Linked DNA regions of Drosophila melanogaster. The protein of the gene in region 3 purifies or fractionates together with the protein of the main gene of each other region. This does not show direct contact. Each region holds a gene or a part of one and is shown on either strand. Other genes may lie near its edges. The genes, in order: Nost, nudE and Khc-73.

Region 1 (4,835 bases), on a different chromosome or scaffold from region 3:
TAAATGTGTAAAAGTAATCTATTTATTTACACCGACAACCCTGTAAATACACAAATTCTGTGCAATTTTCTATCGACTCCCGCAAAACCCCGCGTTTTAATTCAATCCTCGCCCAAATCGAAACTTTGAACAGACAACGACTTTGGATTCTCCCTTCCACCTGGATATACACTATATATACATACATATATATATACATACATACATTTAATTATTAACTTACGCAAGTCTGAAAGTATTTCTATCGAAGAGTTCTAAACTGCTTAACTGTAAAGTGTACATACATATACCGAATTACAAACACTCACAGATCCTATAAACTATATTTATAGATGTAAGAAAAAGCACACTATTGATAACCATCCCCATCACTGTATGTATATGCCTATTTAATATATATATATATATATATATATATATCTACTTTTTTTGAATTAGTCACTAAGCATAGACAACATGAATTACTAAGTACGATATGCACTGCAAGCACTGAGGAATTTGATTCAATTTTACTTAAGACAAACGAAAAGAGAAATTGAAATAGCATTTAGCAAACCTAACGGAAAATCAAAAAAAAAAAAACAGAATTAAATAAGAGAATCTCCAATTTCTGGGATAATAATTACAAATTTAATATTAATTTTTCGAGCTACATCGGATGAGAAATACCGACGAAAAAAAAAAACTGTATTCGCTTGTGGCAATTGTGTGGGAAAGTCGAGAACGTTTAGCATCTGGATTGGCTATGCAGCATTCGTATGTTATATACTTAGAAACCCGAAAACCACAGATACACACACACACCCACGAATATTAAATAGATGTACAATAGTTATATAGACTCATTCGCATCGATCCTTTAAGCCATAGTCTATCCTGTTAAGCTCTCAAACAAAATTGTAATTTTCGGAACCGCAAAAAACGAACCCCAAACGCTCAGCTACGAGTTTCTGTTTAAAATCCAAGTGCAACTTTCAAAGAATTGTAAAAAAAAAAAAAATATCAATAACACTTTACGCTAGCGAATCCCAACAATATTTGGACAAACGATCGAAATCATCCACAAAATTGCTTATAATATGAATTTTCTGACTCTCTCCTAAGGGAAAATAAAAATTTTTTTTGGTATTTCAAACTCAACAACATTGCGTTTTTCTTTTATGGCATAGTTTTGGGCTTTCTCACCTACAAGTAAAGTCAAATTCAGATGAGTCACGGCTTGTAAGGTAACTAAATAAGTTATTAGAATATTGTAATCACAGCATTTAGACGGAAATCGAAATAAGTCATAAGGGTAAGTTCGAAAGATGCAAATTTATGCATCTGCATTCCATAACTTTGAAGTCATCGTAAGCCAAGCTTAAACGAGCTTTAAAACGTACACAAAGCTTGTCCAATTGGCTGCAACTTTTTTTTAACAATAAATAAATTTTTAAAAATTAAATCTTTTTATCTAAAATTGTCTGAATGTCAGCTGACTTCAATCAGTTGAATATATGTTCTTTATGCATTTTCATTTCATATTTTTCTTTATCATATTCTATTCACCGAGTGGAAGATTTCCCTGCAGGTTTGTTGTTTTTTTTTTTAGCCACATAAGTCAGTAAATCAGCCCACTGTACCCACTGTGCCGCTCCACAAAGAGCGTTCAGCGTTGAGCGGAGAGCGTTTAGAAAGCGCCAGCGACCGGCGATTGCAATTGCCACCGCTCACGGAGAGCGGCGAGCGGCGTTTGCGATTGCGATTGCCATTGGGATTGGGATTTGTTGTAGCGTGGATCGCGGAGTCGGAGTCAAAAGCTAAAAGCCAGATTCAGTTGGCGGCGCAGACTCGACTCGTTTAGTTCGCCGTTTCGTAGAAGAGCGACGAGAGCGCATGCGGCTTTTCCAGCGCGGTTTTTCCACCAAAACTTCGGCGACCTGTGTACTATTATTTATATTTTTATTACATTTTTTTTTATTGTTTTTTCTTTCTACCTGCGAACGCTTTGCTCGCCTTGAACTGGAGTGCTTCGTTTTTGAGTAGTGCATCTCTGCCTTTTGCTGGCGAGTGCTACAATTGTCGCACGTAATCGTGCTGGCAGTTACGCCTCAGAAAGCAGCCAAAAAAAAAAGAAAAAAAAACGCAGATACAAGATACAAAAGTATCTCGAACACATGCGTTACGCTCAGCTGACTCGTCGTGTGTGTGAGTGTATCGTAGTGTCGTTGTGTGTGTGTGCTAACAAATTGGTTAGATAAATTAAACAAAAACTGTGAAATTCGCGAATCAAAAAAAAAAAAAAAACAAAAGTAAAATAAAAGTTACACAAACGAAATACGCGAAGGAAAAGCGACGAGCTGAAACTGAAAGCAAACAATCAGCCGGGCTGACCAGTAGTAAATGCTTTAAACTTCAATTATAAAATTTAAATTGAAAAAAATAAAAAAAACACATATAGTTCACAATACCGCATCATAATATCCTACCCGCATCCTAACCCCCGCCGCTGGCCAAAATATGTCACAATTCCGCGATAATTCATGGGTGAGTTGCGATCGAGTTCAGTTCGGTTTGGCTTGAGATTTGGCACTAATTACCGACTAACTACTGCACACGTATCCACAGTGATACTCGCACTCTATCCTGCACTCAAAACTAATCCAAATTGCACAATTATCCAACACAATTTCTCTCCCTATCCTCATTTGTCCATTGCCCAACGCCCCCTCTCGACATCTTCTTAATTGGTCCAAATCGTTAATTAACCTGTGTGGCCATCTGTAAACCGATTGGCCAATTGGCACCATGCATCTCTCGGCCTGACCCGATTTTTTTAAATTTCGCAGCTCGCCAAGTGCCGATCCATCGATTGGTGGAATTGCACTGGCAATCAAAGTTGATAATTAGGGGAATTTTGACGATTTCTTCAATCATTTTGATGTTTAGTATTTGAGATACATTCACTAGTTCTTTGATGGCTTATTACCTTAAACTGCTTTTGAACTTTAAGAAAGTTACAAATATTCGTTTTAACTTACTATAACTTTATAAGTTTAATGAACAGAAAATATAGAACTTTCCACATTTATAGACAAGCAATTATAATATCATTTTCGATATAAAAAACATTATTATTAGGGGTGTTTTTTTTCGAGTGCATTTGCATTTGTGCCGACTGGCAATTGACTTGGAACTGAGAATTTTGACAGCTTCCGAAGCTTCGCATGCAGCGAATTACCTTGGCTTTATCAGCGGAATAACGGTGTCGAGGTCACTCGAAATAACCTAATCAAATTGGTTGGTTTTTTTAAATTTTAATTTTTTATTTTTTTTTAATAGGAGTGCGTCGTTCGCTTTGGCGAACGAAAGTCGAACAGTTTTTGAATAAATTAGTGCGATGCAAAACACGCAGGTTAAGCGGGTCAAACGGCAATGTTGATAGGCATGGGATGAAATTTATAGATCGACTTATTCGAAGTGCTGTGCAACCCGTTTATCTCGAACGATTTATCTGCGAAATATCTGGCCAAGATGGTAAAAAAAAAAAACAAAAAAAACTACTGCGGCAAGTGGTATTGCAAGATATGCAAAATTGTGGTTAAGTAAAGTAGTAAATTATCAATACTTTGTATTTAGAGATATGAATTCACTACTTAAGATACTTTTTTTTCGATTTAGTTTCTCTATATGTTTGCTGACTTTCGAATTAAGCCGCAATTGCTTTGCATTTTTTTTATCTCTACTTGTGTCAAAGAGAAAAACACACACACCTACATTTACCGAGAAATTTCCCAACTTAATTTCTACATGCTATCTAGATCAAACATCATTTCCACACCTCGAGCGCCCTTTTTCTACAGCAATTGCATGATTTGAAGGTCGACGGAGCTTTCTTTTGTTTCTTTTGGAGTTAAAAAAAAAAAAAAACCGGTGAAACAAACAGTTAGGATTGCACTCAGCGAAAAGAGTTATCTAAATCCATAACTTGTTGATAAGAAGATAGTGGTTGTATTGTAGTAAAAAATAATCATATAAAAACTTGGTACATTTAGGCATGGTGAACTTTTGCACCACAGCAATTTCGCGTAGAATCGCATTCTTTTTTTTTAGAAGCCTTTGTTTCGCTTCGCTGTATTTTTGTTGTTTATGAATGTGAATGCGTTATCGTCGTATCTGCGTAACTGTAATCGCATTATGATCCATTAAAATGCGCCAGCTTTTTTGGCAGTTTTTTTTTTTGTGATAAGGTCTGCGGACACCCACCACCTAAGGCGCTCCCTCGTCTGGCAGCAAAAAAATGAAAATAAAAAATATCATAAAACCAATCAAAATCCAGTAAAATAAGAGAAAAACCAGTTGGCCTGGCCCAAGTCGATTGCGCAAATGTCGTGACTGACGTCGCGCCAACGATTATCATCTTCTTCTGGCTAAGATTGAGATTCGGACTGGGATTGGGATTGGGATTTGGGACTTGGGATGCTGCACCTGCACATCCAAAGTCTGGCGGCTGAAGTCTGCTTCCTGGTGGCAGCTTCAAGTTCAATTACGGCAGATTGTCGTGAAGGCATTGGCCATGGATTCACAACCATATCGATATACACAACCACAACCATATTCACATCCACATCCACATCCACATGTCCATGTTGGTCATCAGCAACTTTCACTCACCGGCTAAATGACGATGACGATGTGTGCCTCCTGCACATTTTGTCATCGTTTTTCATGTGGGAAAATCTCTCGCCTCTGCAAAAGATCCAAAGAAAAAAAGACCTAAACGATGGGGAAGTCGTGTGGAGGCTCGCTTTTATTTTTCCTTCTTTTTTATTCATGGAAGCTGCGCTTTTGGGCAG
Region 2 (5,291 bases), on a different chromosome or scaffold from region 3:
AAAGCCCTTGTAACTAAACTCTTGTATATATTAATGATATGGACAAGCTTTTTCCGAGCTGAAGATCAGGTTCCTTGGTAAACAATGGAACCACTGCTCATCGCAGACCCTCATTTTCGCCCTGTATTGCGATAAGGCAGCGAATGACATGATGACTCATGGACTCATTGACTGCCCCCGCTTAACCACCACTATAGCAACACCTCCGAATCGATGCTGATTAAACAGCTGTGGGGAACGCTTTTTGCGCTGATTACGAGCGTCCTAGCATAAACAATAACAAAGGCGGTGCAAAAATTTTGCCGATACCGGCGTCGAGTAACTAACTACAATCGATCTTTACATTTTTGGCAGCTCTTCACAATTTCGTGATAAAATTACATTTTTTTTATGGTGTACGTGGCCCATTTGATATTTAGGCCAATAAGAAAATTTTATATTAGGTTGTAAATTTTTGGTAATACCAATAATACTGGGCCCTATTAAAAAATAAAAAAATGGCAGATAATTTAAAATGGCATTTGGGCACCACATATCCTATCAGTTTTTCTTTCTGTGCAGTCCCATTGCTCTCCCCCCGCACCAAACCACACGCATTTATGACTCAGTTGGGTGAAGTGTGAAAATGCCAAATGAGACGGCGAGCAGACAACTCGGAATCACGGCGTTGGATCCGGATAAGTGGAGCGCCCGCACACTTGTTGGGCTTCCAATGGGTTGCCCGCCCGGCTGATTGGATGCGGGTTGAATGCCCGGCTTTACAGTAACGATACGCACCGTCCTCGTTTGTGGCCACCGATGAGTTGCTGCCGGGATTATCGGCACCCTCGTCCACGGCGTCCACGGAATTGTAGCCATTGCCGTCGTCCTTGTTGATCAGGCTTTGTCGCTCTGGATCCGCCATTGTGGACTATCTTCCGATAAATGGATATTTATATGTGTGGACTATAATCTCTATATGCTGGAGCAATTCCCGTTAGGCTGCACTTCCAGTTGCCTTTGTTTTGTTGTTGCTGTTGCTGCGGGGGCTGCTGCAACGCGTTGATTTCAACTGGAAAATGAGTGGGAAATCCAATAGTTTAGTTGCTGTGCCACATAATTTCGGACGCAACGAGCTCTTTGTTCACGATTGCCGCAGTAGTTTGGTTTTTTTTTTCTTCGTTCGTCGCGGTTTTCACTCGCGTTGATTGAAACACATCCTCCCTTTTTTCACTTTTCGGCATGCGCCGCAATTAATCAATTCGATGATGCTGCATGTGCAACGCCCACGCGAGCTCGATTGTCGCACTCACACAGTTGACATTTGGTTATAATACTGGCAATTGCGTTAATTGTTTAACAATTGCTGGCCATAATTGTGCTATATTTTACCTTATTTTTGTTGAAAATGCACTGCAGTCGCTGCGATCTGGCCACACTCTGGCTAGCTATCTGGCAACGATGTCCCGTTTGAGATTTTTCAGTTGCGGCCCTGCCAGGGAGTTGCCACATCGTTGTACTTGGTAAAGAACCAGAAACAGATCAGCGAAAAATTGTTCATTTTTGGAACCAAAACAATCCAGCGCGGCTTAAAACAAATATGTCTAAAATCACGAAAAACTCCAATAAAATTGACAATAAGGATTCTGTAAGCGGGGAAGGCTCAAATAGTGGGGACGATAACACGTCCACAAGTTCAAGTGACTTTGAAACAAGCAGAAAACACAAACTACGCCGCAAATCCTGTCGAAATGTATCATATCATTATCATGCGCTGCCCATGCGCGTAGTTGGCGAAAATGTTGCAGCACTGCCACAAACTCCCAGCTCCACTCGTGATTTAACACTAAGCTCAGCTCAAATAATTGAAGATAGTTCCGACTCTGAGTTTCATATTTCGGACGATACCAGCAACGATGCGCCGGCCAACAAATCGATAACGTTCACAGCACGTCCATTAGAGAAATATGATTTGGAATATATAAGAAAACTACGTAAACGCAAAAAAAAGCCGAGTAAAACTTTATATGTTGATTAAATTTCAAATAACAACTGTTGACCAGGGCTGGAAACGGCAAATGCCCATCTATTGGCCAACACTGGCAACCCAAGCCAGGGTTGGCTTGTGCGTTTTTGGAGTAGTGGTAAATTTTTACGAGCATAACTATTTACACTGATTTTATGTAAATAAAACAAACAAAACGTAGCAAAATTAAGTGCAAAGTGTAAGTAGTAAATGTGGACAGTCGTGCTGTATAAAATTCTAGGTATAAACACTGGAATTCTACGAAAAAATCACCGATGATTTCATTTCCATGCAGTGCGTTGTTGTATGGGAAACTTCGTCGTAGCTATTTGTTGTTGTTGTTGTTGCTGCTGCTCATCACCATCATCCTCGTTGTTTTCGTTGTTGTTGCCGCAGCAGCTGCGTCACAAAAATGAGTTTTGTTTAATTTGATTTTATTTACATTTGATATGGACAAAACCGACTGCCCTTTTAGGGCATCGAACAAGAACAACAGCAACAGTAACTACAAAATTCAGGGCAAACACCTGTTCCTAATTGATTTTTCACTTTTCTTCGCCGACTTCTAGTCTATTCACCACCCCCAACACACAAAACAAAAAAAAAGTAAAACTACGACTTGAACAACAACTGTGTTTTGGCATTTTAATCACAGCAATTAAAAACAAAGCAGCCAAAAAACACGAATAAATAACCCAAACAGTAATAGACCAACCGTAGTACATAGCATTGTTCAGAAATTAAAAGTTAAATCAATTCGAACGAACGAAATTACAAACCCATTTTGACCGCCGATTAGTACACAAAAACCAGAAAAAGGAGTTAGCAGCTAAGGAAAATTTGCAGAAATGGAGTCGCCCCCGATGTTCAATAGTGTGGAAGATGAGTGCAGATATTGGAAGGAACGATCTAAGCAGTACCACAAAGAGTAAGTGCCCATCCCTATTACAGTCTCCGAAATCAGCCATATAGCCTAGTTTTACTTTTAATTTTCAGGTGGACAGACGTGAAACAGGAGTACGACGAGTTTGTGGAGCAGTCCCGCGAAATGGAAATAGAAATGGACGCCACTCTGGACCAGAAGCAGAGTATAATCAAAGATCTCACAGCCAAACTCACAATGTTTGAGCGGGAAAACGAGTCTCTCAAGGTAGCTATAAGCTAAGCCCGATTTACACAAACTGAGCTTAATTCTTAGACTCAGTTTGCGTATATGTGGCTTTGAGCTCCCGACAAGATTAGTCTTTACAACTATTTCATTCTCAGCTCAAGTTGGAATCGCATGGCATCGATATGTCAAACATGGAGAAACAGCTGGAAACGGTGAAGAAGGATCGCGACACCATGAAGGTGTACCTGCGGCAGCTGGAGCAGAAAAACGACGATTTGGAACGTGCCCATCGCATACTTAACGAAAGCATAGAGAATTTCGAGAAGATGCTGGATCAGGCCTACGAGAAGAACGCCCTTCTGGAGCTGGAAGTGGATGAAAAGGGATTGCTGCAGGAAAAACTACAGCGATTAATGGATGAGACGAGAGGTGGATGCATCTATACCAGATGTCCAGCACAGACTTTAAAACTAATTCATCAAATCTATTGCAGATCTCAAACAAGAGCTGAACGTCAAGTCACGCTTTACCCCAGTGGTCAATGGAACGAGCGTTCCCACGGCAAACGACACAAATACGGTCAACAGCTCGATGAACTCGTCCGCCTCGCTGCCAAATGGTATTGTTGCCAATGGCGAATTGGTAAAACACGACAATGCTGTCGCCACAAGAGCCACCAGCGTCAGCGTCAACGCCCTCAATGGCAGTTTAGTTAATAGAAACGAATATAACCAGCAGCATTCGCTTAAGAGTAAGATACTAAGTTCCCTAAAGAAAACCAGACGCGCGCTAAAACTGTCCAAGACGAATCGCCAAACGTTCAAGCCATGCATTTAGTATTGTTTTTCCATTTGTTTCTTTTTTACTTGTTAACCAAAAAATGTAGCCCGCTTAAGTTCCTCATAATTTGTAATTGTATTGTAAATTATTAAAATTAAGAGCCCAAATGTGACGAAAGAGTTTGCAACATTTCTTGTAGGCGATTTTTGTACGATTTGTGTTTGCGTCTGTAGCTAGTAGTTGACCTAACTAACCTCTCGACTAACATGCTGTGTACGTGTGCTTCCTCTTGCAGATCCCGAGAATCAAATCAATGGCAATTCCATGAACCCCAGCTCCCGCACAACGGCGCTCAACATTGTGGCCGACATGTTAAGAAAACTAAACGTAAGTCCCTCCGCAAACTATAAGTCCAGCATGCCATCCTACCTCATCCATTGTTTCGTATGTACATATGATCCTTGAACCCTTCACTCCCACCATCGGCTTATGTGTTTTTCCCTATGTTTTTAGTGGGACAAGGCACTGCTATGTCCCGAGTGCGAAAAGTTTCGCTGCATGTGTGAGCGCCCGGCAAGTGTGCAGCCGCCGCCGCCGCCATCGGCCAGCGAGGCAAGTCTTTTTCGCCGCGCCTTTGGCGGCAGCAGCAGCTCAGTGGCCACCAGTAGCGCCCAGTCCACGCCCACCAGCGATTGCAGCTCCGCCGGAAGCCTCAGTGCGGGCTCAAACATTTTTAGGCGCTTCGCCGAGCGCATGCGAAACTCGCCGGACGCCAGCCTGCCGCTCTGACAATGCGCTCGGAACTTTAAGGCTAATTTTAGTTGCCCTCCGCTTGCATTTATTAATTGCATTGGTTAATAAATACAAAATTTATTTGTACCTTATTTTATGTTCTTTGTTTTTGTTCGTTATGATTTATTCAGTTTCGAAAGCGCATAATAACTTGGCTTGCTGACTAAACTCTGCACTGGGCAAACCGTTGCGAAATGAAATTTTCATTAATTTATTTATTATATGATGTGCCCAAATCCTTCTATAGTTAATTTTTCATATAGTTCACTGACTGTTGCTTAATCCGCTCTCGTTTTGTGTTTTTTTTTTAGGCGATGGAGACGAAACTGAAGACGTACCGCGAGAATGGTCAGCCAATGCCGCAGCGACACCGCTCCTCCCAGCAATCCACACATCCGGCGCTGGCCGGACTGCCTTGCTTCTCGCTGGATGCCGAGTAGTGTGGATTCTGCAGTTCAGCGTGATCCACAAACCCCAAATCCGAAACCCAATCACCTAGGGCGGGATACTGTTCAGTTGGCTTTACGTTTACGTTACGTTACTTTAATGTTACTGTTCGCATTAATTAAGTTTCTGCTGCCTCTTTATTTATTTGAACTAAAA
Region 3 (5,085 bases):
ATTAAGCTTGACCAGGCGTATGGCATCTTATTGTCGTTTGCCCAAAGTACTCATTCCAAATAAATTCGTTGTTTGCATTGGCTGATTGAGGTAGAAATTCGAGAATAAGTCCCCCGGGCGATTTGCCAATTTGGCAGCAGGCGTGGGCCAAAAATTATCGAAAATATAAATATAATATGGCTAATGTTTTCTTTGCTCTCGAAGACGTCGTCGAGATTCGCAGTTGTAAGTCCCCAGATAGCCAGTTTGCATTTTATGGCAGCTAATGGCTATTCGATGAAACCATTTCAAGGGTAAATCGTAAATCTGCGCTTGGCTTCGCATCCACTATTATATTATTTTCCGATTTTTGCCTATGCAAATGAACCTTCACCTTAACTTTGCGGATCCCGATCGCCCAGTTTGGTTTCTTTTTCCCTCGTTTTTTCTTTGGACAAACGATGGGTTTTGTAACTAATATTCGCGAACTGGCTCTGGTTTTGCCATGTTTGCTGCACGCTGGTTTTTAATGGAATGGCTGTAGGAAAAATGGTGATTTATATTTTGACACTGCCTGCTTATGATCGCGTTTGGGGGTCAAGGATCGATTTCAATCCGGGATCTGCAACTAATCGAAGTGACCTACTTTTCAAACAATAATCCAATCAATATAGAACTGTCCTTGGCACTCGCTCTTATTCCAAAAAATATTAGTTTACCAGTATTTTTGTCTTGTTTATTTACTTTTGTAAGATTCGCAATCGAAACTAATTTTTAGGATGTGTGTGTTTTTTTTTTTAGCGCGACACTCGCAGCTTCGCGTCTTTCGCAGATACTGTGACCCTTTGCGGCGATTCCAAACCTTTATAAACTCCGTGAGCGCCCAAAACGCACGTGAACAGGTATCAAGCGGGTATTGAGTTAAAAAAATTAATAAAAAAACAGCAACAAAAAATGAGATACGAATGAAAACAAACCGAGCGATGAAAGCGAAACTGCTTTTCGCTTTGTTTATTTTTGGGAATCGGAACGGCCTGCATTTGCGATCGGCTCGTTATTTTTTTTTGGTTCACACGTATACGTCACTAGGCCGGGCTCAAATTGCCGGTCTTGAGTTCTCGTTTTTCACGCCGATCGATCGCGTTCATTGACTCCGCTATGATGGGGAGGCGTTCTTCCGAGTTGAAAGTCGCTCCCTTAATGAGGCAGTGGATCCTTGCATATGCGAAACTAGAAACCTACAGGAACTACATTTTTCTTTTTCATTTTCCGTTGGTAGCTTTTTTATTCGTCTATATATCAATATCAATAAAAAGTAAAACGCAACTGATCAAGTTGCCCACTTATGCGACCCAACTTCAGTTTTTTTGGAACAAAATAGGTTTCACTGTACTGAAAATCAGCATTGCAAAACAGGAAGTGCCACTTAAAATGCAATTGCAAATGGAATGGTTCCACTAGGGAACGGTTATTTTCCAACAGGGTCAAAATAAATTACAGGAATATACAACGGAAGAAGCCGATATATTTCCACATTAAATTAATAAATGACAAGTCAAACAACAAATTAAATCTAATATGACGTTCTATAAGTAAAACTTATGATTATTTCATAAAAAAAGTATACATTGGTTTGAAAAAAAATGGTCCGGGGAATCTGGGACTCAAAGAATTCGTTCTTAAAAGATAATTCAAATGATTTTAAGATCGTGGTCAGATTATTTACTTTAGTTTGTAGTACGCTAAGTAAACGAGTTTTATTTAATTTTAAAATTATTAAATATTTTTTAACATTCTAGCTGGACAATACTTCTACCTTTGTATATGTTACCTTTATATAATATTTGCAATAACATCATTATATATATATTCACTTTTTTAATAGATCCAAAGTTTGAAAATAACGATATTTTAAAAAGCCCTTTTTTCGGTCTGTGAATGGTCACACTAAAATTCAATTTTAGAACTTAGCGAGTTCACCCACCCAAACTAGAATTAAGCACATCGTTTTTGGTATTTTTAGAAAAGAAAACTGTGGTATTTCTTGGGCACCCTGCACACGGTCACACTCATCGATAGTCGCAAGAGCAATCGATGATTCTGCATCACTAGTAAAAATTGCTGAGAAAAACGAAAACGCGAAAAATGAAAACGCAATACAGAAAATCAAAATTGAAGTGAAACCAAGTGCGAAAACGAAGGAGCTAAAGGTGCGGTCAAACGATAAGCATATCCCAAATGAAAACAATGCGAGTGTGCAGCCAAAAGAGGCCCCCATTTGTGTTGCTCCCCTCGAAAGAAAAAGAGCCATAAAAATCGATTCTTCAAAGAAGTCGCACACTGCGTTCGAGACTTTTTTGCGCGGGCGGTGGAGCCTGGCGTTGCTTTTCGCCAACTTTTCGTGGAGCTCGTAAAGTTTTTGTATTTCGCGTGGCTTTTGAGGGTTAAAAAGAGCTACCTGTGCATAGTGCATACCTGCTGATCTGTGTGTGTGTGGGGGTGTAGTTGTGTGTGAAAGTGCGAAAAGAATATCAAGTCTGTATGTACATATTCGCATTTATTTGGACAGCCCTGAAAAATCGGACAGGACACTAGAATCACATTCTTAATTAGCTAATTTCCAGTAAATATTTGAGTGTGTCTCGCGTAAATAACGGAATGCCAGCACATGACAATAAAACGTATCCGTGTGCGTGCAAGTGTGTGTGTGTGTAGTAACAACAAAGCAAAAAAGCAAAAGCAAAACAAAGTGAATGACAAACGGCGAGAACGAAATGGAAAACCACCCCCCGCACCACCCACTTACTGTTAGACATGTGTGCGCGTGTGTGCGTGGCGCTAATTGAACTCACACAATATATATAATTTATTTTTTTTGGCGCTCCACAAAAGCCACTTACTTGTGAGTCAGCTTACGACTTCCACCTGCCTTCCAGATTGCGTGCTCATAACTCCCGCGAGGACGACAACTACCGCTAACAACTAACGGTCATAAAAGTCAAAAGCAACGAAGCCCGAGGAGAAGGAGCTAGCCACGCCCCCCGCTGCAGCCCCCGCTTAGGGAGCCCCGCCCATCCGCATATCCACTCCGCTTCATCTAAATAGAGATTCAAAAACAACACCCGCTGCATCCACATCCGCGATGGCTAGTGATAAGATCAAAGTCGCCGTAAGGGTGCGACCCTTCAATCGCCGAGGTAAGTGCCGATTTACATGCCCCACATAATCCCCTGTACTGGGAGAAAAATTCGCCAACTTATGGAGTTTCAAAATATAAATGTTTCACAATCGACATGAGCACAATAATAAGCAACAGATAGACATAATTTCTGATTTTTCATTGTACAAAAATGTTACATTATCGTAAATTAAAAAACAAAATAATTTTGGAGTAAATCTGAAAAGCTACAGACTTAAAGCTTAAATATTCGCCCTTTAATTTTGTGTTTTAATGCGCTCATATTTATCTATTGTTATGTTAAAACTTTCATCTTTTTTTTAGTATAATAAAGTAGTTTTACGGTTGGTCGTGAGGGTGGTTAAGCAATTTCTATAAAATTATAACATCAGATGCCAGGCACTCCATTTATTTTGTAAGAGTTGATAATATAGTTCATAAGGAGTTGCCTTGAGTGGCCCGCACTTTCCATTTTCCCCACTTTTTCACATTGTTTCCCAACAATGGCCAACAAGCACTGCAGTTGCCTGCAATCAATAATGCAAACAACCAACCAGGCAAGCGACTGTTTTTTTAGGCTAACGAAATTTACATGGGCTTCCTCGCTTCCTTTGAAATACGGTTTCGTTTTTCAACTGCTGCGCCAGCGGATTTTTCGCAGGGCTTAACTGCAGAACTACAGCGTCTACCTACGGGATGGTAATGGGATGGGATGGATTGGGATGGTTTTGCAAGGTCCCCGGTCTGCTCGTCTGACAAACGATTTGCGTTTCCAGCTAATTTCGCGTTACCCACTGCCAGCCACGAAGTGTGTTGCAAGTGCAAAATAACTAAAAATGAAAAACAAGCAACAGCGCCGTCAGCGTTTCCAATGTCAACACTGATCATTCATTTGGCTCATCCATGACTCACACTCGCGGCGGCGTCGGCGGAAGCGAAGGATGGCAGCGGAAAAGGGGCTCTACGACCCAACCATATGCAAAAGATACCTATGTAAACGCATATAAGCGTGCTGCATGCTTGTATTTATGTGCCTGTGCGTGGGGCAAGGTCCACTTGGATCCCCTGCTGTATTGATTGAATGGCAAACTTTGATTGCACATCTTATTTATATTTACATAAGGCATTGAATCAGTTACATTTATTGCATTTTGGTGCACCCTCTGTTTATAAATTGGCATAACGTAAAGTTTGATTTCATACACATATAAACAAACGGCAGGCTTAGAAAGTATTCCATTTATATGGGTCACGATCCTAATTGATTGAATGACAAACCTACACCGATGACTCCATGTTTGTTTATATTTACATGATTGTATAATCCATCAAAACACATTTCTGTTGTTATTTTGTAGCTTTTCTTTTCATACTCAGTTTGTCATAACTCGATTAGATGGACTCTAACCTATTAGGTCTTTATCTATAGCGAAGCTAATGGATGAATTAGGATAATTGCAATTGCATTCTGGTTTTAGAGGTAGTCGTTGTGGAGCATAGTGCAATAATTGTGCACTTGCAAGTATTTGCAAATGAAACACAAACTAGTCTTAGTAGCTATGGGACCTTAAAGTGATGAATTCTGCGATCACAGATGCTCATTTAATTACAAATAACTTTGTAATTTTGACAAATTTATTACCACGCTAGTGCCAGCTACTTGTGAAACTAATTAATTGTATCCGTAACACTTGTATATACTTGTTTATTGGCAAACAAACAACTACTTCTGGTTATCCATCATAATGTGTCACTTGTAATATTTTCCGGCCAAGTTAGGCGTACGCATGGACTTGGTAACCGCGTGTATTTTTAGAAGTTTGACCGTGTATCGATGTTGTACTTTGTCATGTTTTTGGCTTGTTTGATCCGTTGCTGTTTTGGTGTCTGAAGAGAGTAGTAGTCGTAGTCACCGGAAAGTCTGCGAT

The links.
Region 1: the proteins of Khc-73 (region 3) and Nost purify together in Drosophila melanogaster (affinity purification with western blotting, with the first as the bait; one study listed by BioGRID). This does not show direct contact.
Region 2: the proteins of Khc-73 (region 3) and nudE purify together in Drosophila melanogaster (affinity purification with western blotting, with the first as the bait; one study listed by BioGRID). This does not show direct contact.

The regions. Positions count from the first base shown.
Region 1 is NC_004354.4:9,028,371-9,033,205, forward strand, and holds the start of Nost (nostrin), read left to right. Parts: upstream 1-1,834; 5' UTR 1,835-2,499; coding exon 2,500-2,526; intron 2,527-4,835.
Region 2 is NT_037436.4:9,897,152-9,902,442, forward strand, and holds nudE (nudE), read left to right. Parts: upstream 1-2,089; 5' UTR 2,090-2,204; exon of another isoform or gene 2,205-2,236; intron 2,237-2,574; 5' UTR 2,575-2,853; coding exon 2,854-2,933; intron 2,934-3,001; coding exon 3,002-3,155; intron 3,156-3,271; coding exon 3,272-3,545; intron 3,546-3,609; coding exon 3,610-3,867; coding exon of another isoform or gene 3,868-3,953; exon of another isoform or gene 3,954-4,046; intron 4,047-4,191; coding exon 4,192-4,283; intron 4,284-4,409; coding exon 4,410-4,685; 3' UTR 4,686-4,761; downstream 4,762-5,291. Other genes in the region: CG6707 (uncharacterized protein), read right to left, coding at 778-904; CG46387 (uncharacterized protein), read left to right, coding at 1,580-2,017. UniProt on the Drosophila melanogaster protein: Chaperone protein with functions in nuclear localization. Required for centrosome duplication and formation and function of the mitotic spindle.
Region 3 is NT_033778.4:15,529,226-15,534,310, reverse strand, and holds the start of Khc-73 (kinesin heavy chain 73), read left to right. Parts: upstream 1-2,051; 5' UTR 2,052-2,189; intron 2,190-2,915; 5' UTR 2,916-3,121; coding exon 3,122-3,176; intron 3,177-5,085.